Stegostoma tigrinum: one gene and its partners. The protein of the gene in region 1 interacts with the protein of each later gene in a pairwise test. Links are inferred from orthologs where the notes say so. Each region holds a gene or a part of one and is shown on either strand. Other genes may lie near its edges.

Region 1 (3,751 bases):
TCCCCTCCCCCCACTGCACCACACAACCAGCCCAGCTCTTCCCCTCCACCCACTGCATCCCAAAACCAGTCCAACCTGTCTCTGCCTCCCTAACCGGTTCTTCCTCTCACCCATCCCTTCCTCCCACCCCAAGCCGCACCCCCATCTACCTACTAACCTCATCCCACCTCCTTGACCTGTCCATCTTCCCTGACTGACCTATCCCCTCCCTACCTCCCCACCTACACTCTCTCCACCTATCTTCTTTACTCTCCATCTTCGGTCCGCCTCTCCCTCTCTCCCTATTTATTCCAGTTCCCTCTCCGATGAAGGGTCTAGGCCCGAAACGTCAGCTTTTGTGCTCCTGAGATGCTGCTTGGCCTGCTGTGTTCATCCAGCCTCACATTTTATTATCTTTGCTTCTGTGAAGAAACACAGTTCAGATTAATCACCTTCCATCAGAATTCAAACTGAAATTTTGTACCTCGGTGCTGCCACAGCACCTACCCTTCACCTCCATCCAAGGCCCAAGACAAACTTTCCATGTATGACAGGGATTCACCTGCATATCATTCCACCTGGTCTACTGTATCCATTGTTCTTGATGTGGTCTCTTCCACATAGATTAAACCAAATGTACACTTGGAGACTGATTCGAGGAGCATCTGCACTCTGCACGCTAATATCAACAGCACCTTCCAGTCGAACCACTTTAACCACCCCCCCCCCCCCCGCCCTTGGGTGACATGTCCATCCTGGGCCTCCTCTAGTGCCACAATGACGCCACACGCAAACTGGAAGAGCAACACCTCATATTCCGCCTTGGGAGCCAACAGCCTGATGGCCTAAACATCCAGCCTTCCACCCACAGCCTCATCACATGTCTAACCCTCCCACTCATCCCCACTTTCTTGACCTGGCACCACCTGTCCATCTTCTTTCCCATCTATCCGCCCCACCTGTCCAACTGCCCAATCCCCACCATCCCAAACCTGCACCCACCAAACATTGTCCCACCTACCTTCAGAAGCCCCACCCCTCCTATTTATTTCTGAGCTCCCTTCCCCCTCTCCAGTCCTGATGAAGGGTCCAGATCTGAAATGTCGACTTTCCTGCTTCTCTGGTGCCGACTCTCCTCCTGTGTTCCTCCAGCTCCACACTGTATGGATGACGAAAACACTGTTAACAAGTAGCAACGGGAATTAACCGAGTCATACAGGAATACAGTTCATATTACAAAGATACTCAGCAGAGAGGGGGAGGATTTGTCTCTGTTTCAAAATGGTTGTTGGAATAGGCTGGAGGACTGGTGGGGGTTTGGGGCACATTGGTTGGTAAGCAGCAGAGTTCAGTGTCTGATCCTTTGTTTGCTCAGTCTTTGGATTCAGACACATACACAGACACACACACACACACACACACACACACACACACAAACAGACACCAAACAGTGCGGATGCCTCGAGCATGTTGACTTCATAGGTGCCTGAATGAATGTTTCCATCAAATTTGTGTTCGGTAAATGTTTTGGGTTGCATCTAGATACGAGCACTGGTTTGAACTTTTCCAATTAGCACATTTCCTCCTTAACTGAAACCAGTTCACTTATCCCTTACCTAAGGAAAAATATATTGGAGTCAGCCCTATGAAGTTTTACTCGGCTGATCCCAGGTATGGAGGAACTGTCCTTTGAGGAGAGGTTGAGTAGGTAGGGTCTGTATTCTGGATGTGAGTTTGCTCACTGAGCTGGAAGGTTAGTTTTCAGACGTTTCGTCACCATTCTAGGTAACATCATCAGTGAGCGTCCGGTGAAGCGCTGGTGTTATGTCCCGCTTTCTATTTATCTGTTTCCTAAGGCTCACTGATGATGTTACCTAGAATGGTGACGAAACGTCTGAAAACGAACCTTCCAGCTCAGCGAGCAAACTCACATCTAGAACCTCAACCTGAGCTACAAATCTTCTCAAAACTTGCTAGGGTCTGTATTCATTGGATCATAGAAGAATAAGAGGGGATCTTATTGAAACAGATAAGATTCTTCGGGGGCTTGATTTGGAAAGATTGTTTCCCCTTGTTAGAGTCCAGGGTTAGAGGGCATACATGCAGAGTAAGGGGTCACCCCTCAGGAGAGCGATAAGGTGGAAATTTCTTCTCTCCAAGGGGAGTAAGTCTGTGGAATTTTTTACCGCAGAGGTCTGGAAGCCTTACTAATTACATTTCAGGCTGAGATAGATTGATAAACATTGAAGGAATTAAGGGTTATAGGAACAAGACAGGGAATGGATGGCGATTATTAGATCAGCAATGATCTCATTGAATGGCAGAGTTGACCGAAATGCTTACGTCTGTCCCTACTTATATTCTTGCAGACCCAGAGTGACTGCTGTCCCAAGTTTGTGTCCTTCTGCAACTTCTGGGTCATCTCTTCAACCCAACGTCACAAAAGAGATTCCTAAAGCAAATTTCTGCAAACCCTCAAAAAAAGGGGAGCAGTTCAAGTGGCGCCTGTTCAAAAAGATAGAGAAAGCAGTTTACATTTCGAGTTAGAACATCACCCACAGTAAGATTACCAACAGTAAAATCACGGGAATATCCCTCACAATGACATACATGACAGTAATTATCTTCCTGACCGGCCCTTTATTCCTCGTAGACCACAATCTGACAACTCTGCCTGGCACCCTGGAGGGAGGGAGGGCGGAGCGCCAGCATCAAAGATGGCAGCTCGGCCAGCCAATTGGCATCACCTCCTAGTACGCAGGCACAGTAACTGGTACCCCCGCGGAGGACAGGGATCATCTCGCGATACTTGGGGCCGCCGTTCCAGCGCGCCAATTTTCAAAGGCGCTTCCTGTAAACAGAAGGATAGACCTAGAAAGAGAGAGAGAGGCGGGGAGGATAGACAACAGACAGCTGGTCTGCCGTCGAACCGGTCGGTGGCACTGAGGAACACCGGAGAGACAACAACAACAACTACAGTGGCGCCAACTGTCCACCGCAACGGTCCGAGGTGGAAAGCCAGGCCTCAGTTCCGATGACCTAACAACTGGATCCTACCCCCGAGAGCCCAGGATTTGATGAGTTAGCAACTGGATCCTACCCCCCGGGAGCTTGGCGACCAAACATTCGGAGCCGAACCGCCATGATTCCAGGATTTGGTGACCTAACAATCGGAGCCTAGCCCCCAGGAGTGCGGGTTTTGATGACCTAACAATCGGAGCCGAGCCCCCAGGAGTGCGGGTTTTGATGACCTAACAATCGGAGCCGAGCCCCCAGGAGTGCGGGTTTTGATGACCTAACAATCGGAGCCGAGCCCCCAGGAGTGCAGGTTTTGATGACCTAACAATCGGATCCGAGCCCCCAGGAGTGCAGGTTTTGATGACCTAACAATCGGAGCCGAGCCCCCAGAAGTGCAGGTTTTGATGACCTAACAATCGGAGCCGAGCCCCCAGGAGTGCAGGTTTTGATGACCTAACAATCGGAGCCGAGCCCCCAGGAGTGCAGGTTTTGATGACCTAGCATACCCCCGACACCGACCCAGCGAGGATGCTGTCGGAGGTGCAGCCCTGCCTGCAGCTGCTCCGCATCGGCACCGCCCCGCAGCCCAGCCCGAGGCCCGGCCAGGCCACGGCGCCGACACCCGCCCGCGACCTCTACACTTTCCTGCCGGCCGGCCAGCGCTGCACCTTCCGCCTCGGCCGCCGGGCCGACCTCACCGACCTGTGCCTGAGCTCGGGGCGGGCCGAGGATCTCATCTCCCGGGTGCACGCCG
Region 2 (3,751 bases), on another chromosome or scaffold:
GAGTCTGGGGACACTGTTCCCTGGTGTACTCCTCATGGCATTGCCTTGAACAGTCAGTTAACCTGTGAACCAATCAGCACTCTGTTTCTCATGTGGTATAAACATTGCTCCCTTTGAAATCTGGGAATATTCTTACATCTGTGCTGACCAAGTCTAAGATGGAAAAGTTCAAGATCATGTCTTTTTGTTCAGCAACACTCAGCGCGTACTCCAAAGTCATGAGTCATATCCCAATTCAGGGATCCAAGGATCTAGGCCAAGACTTGCAGTTAGCCACTGAAGCAAGGAGATATGAGAGAGAGATAGAGATACGGACAGAGACATAGATAGAGTGCAAAAATGTTCGGGGAGAGAAAAGTACCTCAACTTTGACAAGTTACAGTGCCATGAGAACAGAACAAAGGGAAGAACACAAACATTTGACAGAAAATAGCCATGTTTTCATCAGATTTAATGTTTCTTCAGCAAGAAATTAAGGAGAATGCCTGCATTTTCATTTAAAATCTTCTGCCTTAACAGCAAAGACATTTGGGAAATTGCTCTGCCTGCACTACACTCTGCCTCAAGCTGAGAAAGCCACAATAATACCAATGGACACCACACATTAGCCATGGCTCAACAGGTAATACCTTCCCCTTTGGGCAAGAAGATTCTGTGTTCAAATCCCACTCCTGAGATTTCTGCAAGGTTAATTGAGGGGTACTATAACAGCAAAGGTACCCTCCAATGAAACATTAAACAAAGACTTCATCTATTCTCCCAAGTGAATGGCACTATTCTGAGGATGTGAAGGTGTTGGTGTTGGATTGAGGTAGATTAGACTAGATTCCCTACAGTGTGGAAACAGGCCCTTCGGCCCAACAAGTCCACATCGCCCTTTTGAAGCATCCCACCCAGATCCACCTCCTTATAAATGCACACACCCCTGAACACTACGGGCAATTTAGCACGGCCAAGCCACCTAGCCTGCGCATCTTTGGACTGCGGGAAGAAACCGGAGCACCCAGAAGAAACCCAAGTAGACATGAGGAGAATGTGCAAACTCCACACAGACAGTCGCCCAAGGTTGGAATCGAACCTGGGTCCCTGGTGCTGTGGGGCTGCAGTGTTAACCACTGAGCCACCGTGCCGCCCCTATAGCAGACAACATCAGAAGTCAGGAGACACTAGGTTATACAATTTGGACCCAAAACTTTTTTTCCTGCTCCTCAGCGTGTTGTCTTTTTCTAGCTTCACATCTATTGATTCTATAATCCCAATTTTGCCCTGTTATTCCCAATTTGGCCAACACAACAAAAACTGATAATCTGGCTATTATCACACTGCTGATTGTGGAATTTGCCATGTACAAATTGGCCACCATACTACTGACATAACAGCAGTGATTGCATAGCAAAAATATATACTATATATAATAAACTGATTGGTTATAAAACAAGGTGTGGAGCTGGATGAACACAGCAGGCCAAGCAGCATCAGAGGAGCAGGAAAGCTGACGTTTCAGGCCTAAACCCTTCCTCTAGACCTGTGTTCATCCAGCTCTACACCTTGTTGTTTCAGATTCTCCAGCATCTGCAGTTCCTACTGTCTCTGGCTATAAAACAATCTGAGATATTCCTTTTACTTTAAAAGGAACTATACAAGTAAAAGGCTTTCATTCCATAGTCGGTCCTAGATGAACTAATTGCTCATGACAGGTTGGTGTTGCTTTTCAAAGTCCTGAATTCTCACCACTCCCCAGGCAGACATTTTTCCTGAATTCTCAAATGGATTTATTAGTGACTGTCTTATACTGCCAACATAGCAAAGAAATATGGAGAAACTCAGCAGTTGTGGCATCTGTGGAGACAAAAAAGAGAGTTTAGGACATTTTTTGAGTTAAAAAGATGTTGGAATTTTTTTAAACACTTGTTATACTTTTGACTAACAAAAGACAAAGAGGTTGCCGATGGTGGAGAAAAAAAAATGATGTAAAGTGGAAATGAGTCCCCAACCAATCATAGCCCCAAAGGACCATGGGGCTACTCTTTCATTACAGAGATGATTAGAAGTGCTTTAACTTAAAGGTTATCACACCTCAAGTTAGGGGTGAGGTTGAAAAGGAGAGTCCATGTCACTCTGCATCACAAACCAGCTGTCCATTCAACTGAGCTGGCCAAGCCCAAACGACTGAGGTTATGATTAAGAATCATCGGACTGGAAACGTTAACTTTTTCTGCTAACAGGTTCTGCCTGACCAGCTCAGCTTCTCCAACAATTTCTGTTTTTGTCCTAAACTACTATTAGAATGATAACAGCCTGGTCCTACTGTCCTACGGAAGAAACATCTTGTGTGTGTGTCTACGTACATTTTATAGTCCCAAATATTTCAACTGGGTCACTCTCCACCCATCCCCCTCAATGTTACCAAGACAGCCTTTATCCCCGATTTAATTCATTGGGAGTCAGTCACCCTCCCAGCTCCGGAATATTGTCCATGACAACATCCTGCAGCACCCACACTTCCCACCCAAAGTGAACCCTCGGAGAGATCCCCCTCCCCCCCGTCTTCTCCCTTCACTGCCTCCCCAGCCCAGCTCATCCCTCATGATGTCCCGTTCATCCCCCCCCCCCGGGATCAAAGCTGTACTCACGGAGAGGGCGGGGAGTCCTGTGTCCCGCTGGAGCCGCGGTCCCGGGGAGGCGGTCGGTGTCCCTGGCCGAGGAGGGAGGGAGCTCGATGCCGGGAGCTGGCCTGTGTCGGGTGGGGTAGTTCGGTGACCGGAGCCCGGTACCCGGGGGGGGGGGGTGGGGGAAGGGTCTGGATCCGCAAGCCCGGGGCCGGGGGGCGGGAAGCGCGCGGACCGAGCGCGAGCGGGTTCCTATTGTCCGGGGGCGCCGAGCTCGCACATTCCACACAAACAAAACCCGGCCACGGCTGCCGGATGAAAATTTCCCGACACCCGGGGAATACCCGCCGCCTCGGGTGGACTTGATCTTCCCCCAGTACACTCCCACCTTGGGCCTGGCAGAATTTTATAAAGTAATAAACAGTTCCGCCGAATCTGCGAACCTCTTTCCAACTGTGCCGACCCAAGGCCAAATGTCAGTGTGAGTAGCAACCGTACATTCGAGCCTCCAAATAAAGTTCCCTTCTATAAATTAAATAAGCGCAGTTGTAATATAGTTACAACATCAGTTGTTTTGAGTCTTTGTATAGGTGTTATAAGCTAATAATTTCCTTTTTAATGGAAAACATTTTTCTAAGAATGTGCTGCTACAGACAATAAATCTACTGTGGTTCTTCAAATAGAATGCATGTCTGACCTAAAGTGCATATGCTGTATTGTTTCTGTAAGACTGATTTATTTTGTCCCCAGTCTCACTGAGAAATCTCCTTATCTTGAGAAATGTTAATTTTAATTTGCTGCAGGACTGGGAACATGTCAAATAGTCACTGAAATCTAACAGGTAAGGGACAATATCGAAACACAATCAACGTACCCAACACTAATCAATTTACACCTTGTACAGTTGCTGGTGACTAATAAAATCTGCAATTTAGTTGGTAATTAATTCACAAGATTATTAACAGAGAGGCAATAATGTAGTGCCAGAGCTGTTGGTGGAGTAATCCGGGGACACAAGGTCCCAGGGATAAAAGTTAAAACTGCTTGAGGGGCTCAGCAGGTCAAGCTGTGCAGAGAAAAACAGGCGATAACGTCTCGATTCTGGTGTGACTACTTAAGGATTTTGCTTTCATTTTAGTGTC
Region 3 (3,751 bases), on another chromosome or scaffold:
ATGTTGTCAGGGCCCATAGCCTTTGCAGTGTCCAGTGTCTCGAACAGTTTCTTGATATCACGTACGGTGAATCAAATTGGCTGAAGACTGGCATCTGTGATGCTGGGGACCACTGGAACAGGCTGAGATGGTTCATCCACTTGGCACCTCTCTCTGAAAGTTGCTGCGAATGCTTCAGCCTTATCTTTTGCACTGATGTGCTGGATTTTCTATCATTGAGGATGGGGATATTTGTGGAGCCTCCTCCTCCAGTGAATTGTTTACCTGTCCACCACCATTCACAACTGGATGTGGCAGGACTGCAGAGCTTAGATCTGATCCATTGGTTATAGGATTGATTAGCTCTGTCAATTACTTGCTGCTTTCGCTGTTTGGCATGAGAGTAATCCTGTTTGGTGGCTTCACCAGGTTGGTACCTCATTTACAGGTATACCTGGTGCTGCACCTGGCATGCCCTCCTACAGTCTCCATTGAACCAGGGTTAATCCACTAGCTTTATTGCAATGGTTGAGTGGGGGATATGCCGGGCGATGAGGTTACAGATTGTGGAGTATAATTCTGCTGCTGTTGATGGCCCACTGTGCCTCGTAGATGCCCAGTCTAGTTGCTAGATCTGTGCAAAGTTTGCGCCATTTAGCACAGTGACAGTGCCACACAACACGATGGAGGTTATTCGCAACGTGAAGGTGGGGCTTCGTCTCCACAAGGACTGTGCAGGGTCACTCTTACTGATACTGTCATGGCCAGGAAATCTGCCAGCCCTCCCCTGGCCTGGCCTACATGTGACTCCAGAGGGCAACTGACAGTCAACCACATTGCTATGGGTCTGGAGTCACATGTAGGCCAGGCCAGGGGAGGGCTGGCACATTTCCTCCCCTGAAGGACATTAGTGAACCAGATAGGTATAGATCCAAACGACTCACTCAATCTGTCTTCATAAGACAAACCCGTCATCTCTGGAATCAATCTAGTGAACCTCCTCTGATCTGCCTCCAATGCAATTACATCCCTCCTCAAAGGGACCCAAATTGTGCACAATACTGTAGGTGCGGTATCACTAATACCTCGTAGAATTGCAACAATGCCATCCTACTTTTATCCTCTATTCCTTTAGCGATTAGGTGATCTTATTAGTAAGTGTGCAGACAACACCAAAATTGGCAGAGTTGTGGATAGTGAAGAGGTATGTCAAAGGACATGGAAAGACAGACAGTTTGCAAATTTCAACAGAGAAACTGCAGATGGAGTCTAACCCAGACAAATGCAAGGTGAAGTATTTCGGATGATCAAATTCAGATACAAACTATAAAATAAATAGCAGGTACCAAAGTATCATTGACATACAGGGGGATCTGGGTATAAAGGTCTACAGATCCCTGAAAGTGGCAACACAGGTGAATAAGGTGGTCAAGAAGGTACACAACACGCCTGTGTGTGTCAAATATAAAAGTTAGCGAGTTATGTTAGAGCTGTATAAAACTTTGTCAGGCCACATTTGGAATATTGCGTGCAGGTCTGGTCACCACACTTTAAGAAAGACGTAGACGCTTTAGAAAGGACACAGAGAAGATTTACCAGGATGTTGCCTGGTCTAGAGAGTTTTAGGTATTAGGATAGTTGGATAAACTTGGAATGTTTTCACTGGACAGATGTAGGGTGAGGGGTGACCTAATAGAGGTTTACAAAATTGCAAAAGGCATAGGTAGGTTGGAATAGTCAGAGGCTTTTATCCAGCATGGAAAGGTCAACTACACGGCAGCACAGGTTCAACGTGAGGGCAAGGTTTAGGGAAGAATTGCAGGGAAAATTTTTCACACGGCACGGTGGTGCCTGGAACACACTGGCAGAGGTGGTGGTGGTGGTAGCAGACACATTAGCAGTGTTTAAGGTTTGCTTGATGGAGACATGAATGGGAGATGAACAGAGGGATTAAAACCAGGTAAGGTGGAGTAACAGAAAGATAGTTCACCACAAATGGCTGTTGAAGTCAGTTTTAAAAAGAAATTACCAAGTATTTCTAACAGATGAATATAAAAGAACTGCAACAACACAGGTAGATGGACTGAATACCATTGTTGTGCTCTGATCTTTATATTTGTATGAAGAGGTACATTTATTTAGTCTTTGACAGATATTGATAGTGATGTGTTTATGTACCATGTCTTGTAAAAACAGACCCAAACACAGAGACTGCTGCCTCTTCAGCGTCAGTTCACGTCAGTTCAAACTGATGACTTTTGACGTGTCACATCCAGATACAGATGAACACCAAGGTTTCCAAATTAGGGATGTCACCTTCACACAATACCTGGGTCCAAGGTGATTAGGAGAGACACTTGGTCGTTTAATTGTGCCATTGTGGATTCTGGCTGTTTTTCAAAGTCAACATCAATTCTGGTTACACATGCATTGGGCACATTTTTTCTTCTTTCATTTGATGTGGAGATCACTGGTAAGATCACCATCAGTCATCCAATCTCAAATGCCTTGAAAGTGCTGATCAGCTGTGTTTACTTCGGTTACTCATAAATATTCTACCGGTCTGGGACAACAGTTTCTGGCAGAGGACAAGGTGAAGCCGCCCCATTCGGGCAGGGGACACCCTGTGCGTCTAGGTAAAGCTGCAGCCAAGGAAACAGTCAGGAGGCTGAGGCCTAGTCCGACCGGCACAGCCCGAGCCTCCAGTCGCGCAGCTCACTGGTTGAGAAAGCTGCCCGTTCACCTCCCTCCATCACTCACTCACCACTGCAGTCAAGTCCTGCACCGTCTTCGGGTCTGTCTCCGACATCTCAAGATTTCTTCGGCCTCAATCCTCAGCAGCTTCGTTACCACGGCGATCCTGCCCACTCCGACAAATCTGCCGTGACCTCACAAGATTTCGCCGACGTCCCGCTGCATCATGGGTGTTGTAGTCGTCTCCCTGATTCCCCGCCTTTGAATTGAAATAGCCTGTGCCTGATTCCCCACCAACTGTCAATTTTCCACTTTGGACCTTACTTCCTGGGTCTTTTGCTAACATTTTCATCCAGCTCCAGCAAATTTGAAATAATCACATTTTTAGCGCCCAGAACGAGTAGGCTATGCTGGAAAGACCTGGCAGCATCTATGAACAAAGAGAGGAAAAATTTAAGGTCGTAATCTTTATCAGAATCTCCTGAACTAATATCCCAGAGGGGAAATCTAATAAAACTTGAAAATGACACATAGTGATCTGACTTGCCTTGTTCCTCAGAATTATAGTCCAGTACAAACCGGTATTTTCACTTTCAAGTTTTTTTTTAAACCAGGTTTTCCCTCTGGGACATTTTGTTTCGGTTTAGCAAGGAATAACTTGAGCACACAGCAGAGTCTAGAACTTTTTCCACTTTTGAACAATTGCTTCATGTGGTTGAACTTGCTTTCATCTTGAATAATAGATCTGCACAATACATGATTAGACATGGAGCTTGTGGCAAAGCAGGAAGCAGATAGGAGAAGAGCAGGAGTGTGAAATGATAATAGTGGTATTATGAGATGGTGAGTTAGAGGAAAGAGAGAACCGGAAGTGAAAGGAAATTGAAGAGAGAAGTAGGAATTCAGGAAAGCTGAGAAATGTTCTAGTAGGAAGGGAGAAATTCTTTAAAACAGTTAATGAATTAAGAGCAAGGAGACAAAAAGAAAGCCAAAATATTTTTCACTTAAAAGTCATTAGGACACGCAGAACATAGAACATTGAACAATACAGTGCAGAACAGGCCCTTCGGCCCTTGCT

What was found.
Region 2: the proteins of cchcr1 (region 1) and smarce1 interact in binary tests that used the Homo sapiens proteins (3 or more experiments, as listed by UniProt). The link is inferred for Stegostoma tigrinum from reciprocal best matches to the Homo sapiens genes CCHCR1 and SMARCE1.
Region 3: the proteins of cchcr1 (region 1) and hsbp1b interact in binary tests that used the Homo sapiens proteins (3 or more experiments, as listed by UniProt). The link is inferred for Stegostoma tigrinum from reciprocal best matches to the Homo sapiens genes CCHCR1 and HSBP1.

Annotation. Positions count from the first base shown.
Region 1 is NC_081387.1:26,383,899-26,387,649, forward strand, and holds the start of cchcr1 (coiled-coil alpha-helical rod protein 1), read right to left. Parts: upstream 2,696-3,751; 5' UTR 2,590-2,695; intron 2,485-2,589; 5' UTR 2,323-2,484; intron 1,139-2,322; 5' UTR 1,001-1,138; intron 1-1,000. Other genes in the region: tcf19l (transcription factor 19), read left to right, coding at 3,526-3,751. UniProt on the Homo sapiens protein: May be a regulator of keratinocyte proliferation or differentiation.
Region 2 is NC_081384.1:2,078,972-2,082,722, forward strand, and holds the start of smarce1 (SWI/SNF-related matrix-associated actin-dependent regulator of chromatin subfamily E member 1), read right to left. Parts: upstream 2,861-3,751; 5' UTR 2,634-2,860; intron 1-2,633. UniProt on the Homo sapiens protein: Involved in transcriptional activation and repression of select genes by chromatin remodeling (alteration of DNA-nucleosome topology).
Region 3 is NC_081369.1:48,301,290-48,305,040, forward strand, and holds the start of hsbp1b (heat shock factor-binding protein 1b), read right to left. Parts: upstream 2,907-3,751; 5' UTR 2,789-2,906; coding exon 2,744-2,788; intron 1-2,743. UniProt on the Homo sapiens protein: Negative regulator of the heat shock response. Negatively affects HSF1 DNA-binding activity. May have a role in the suppression of the activation of the stress response during the aging process.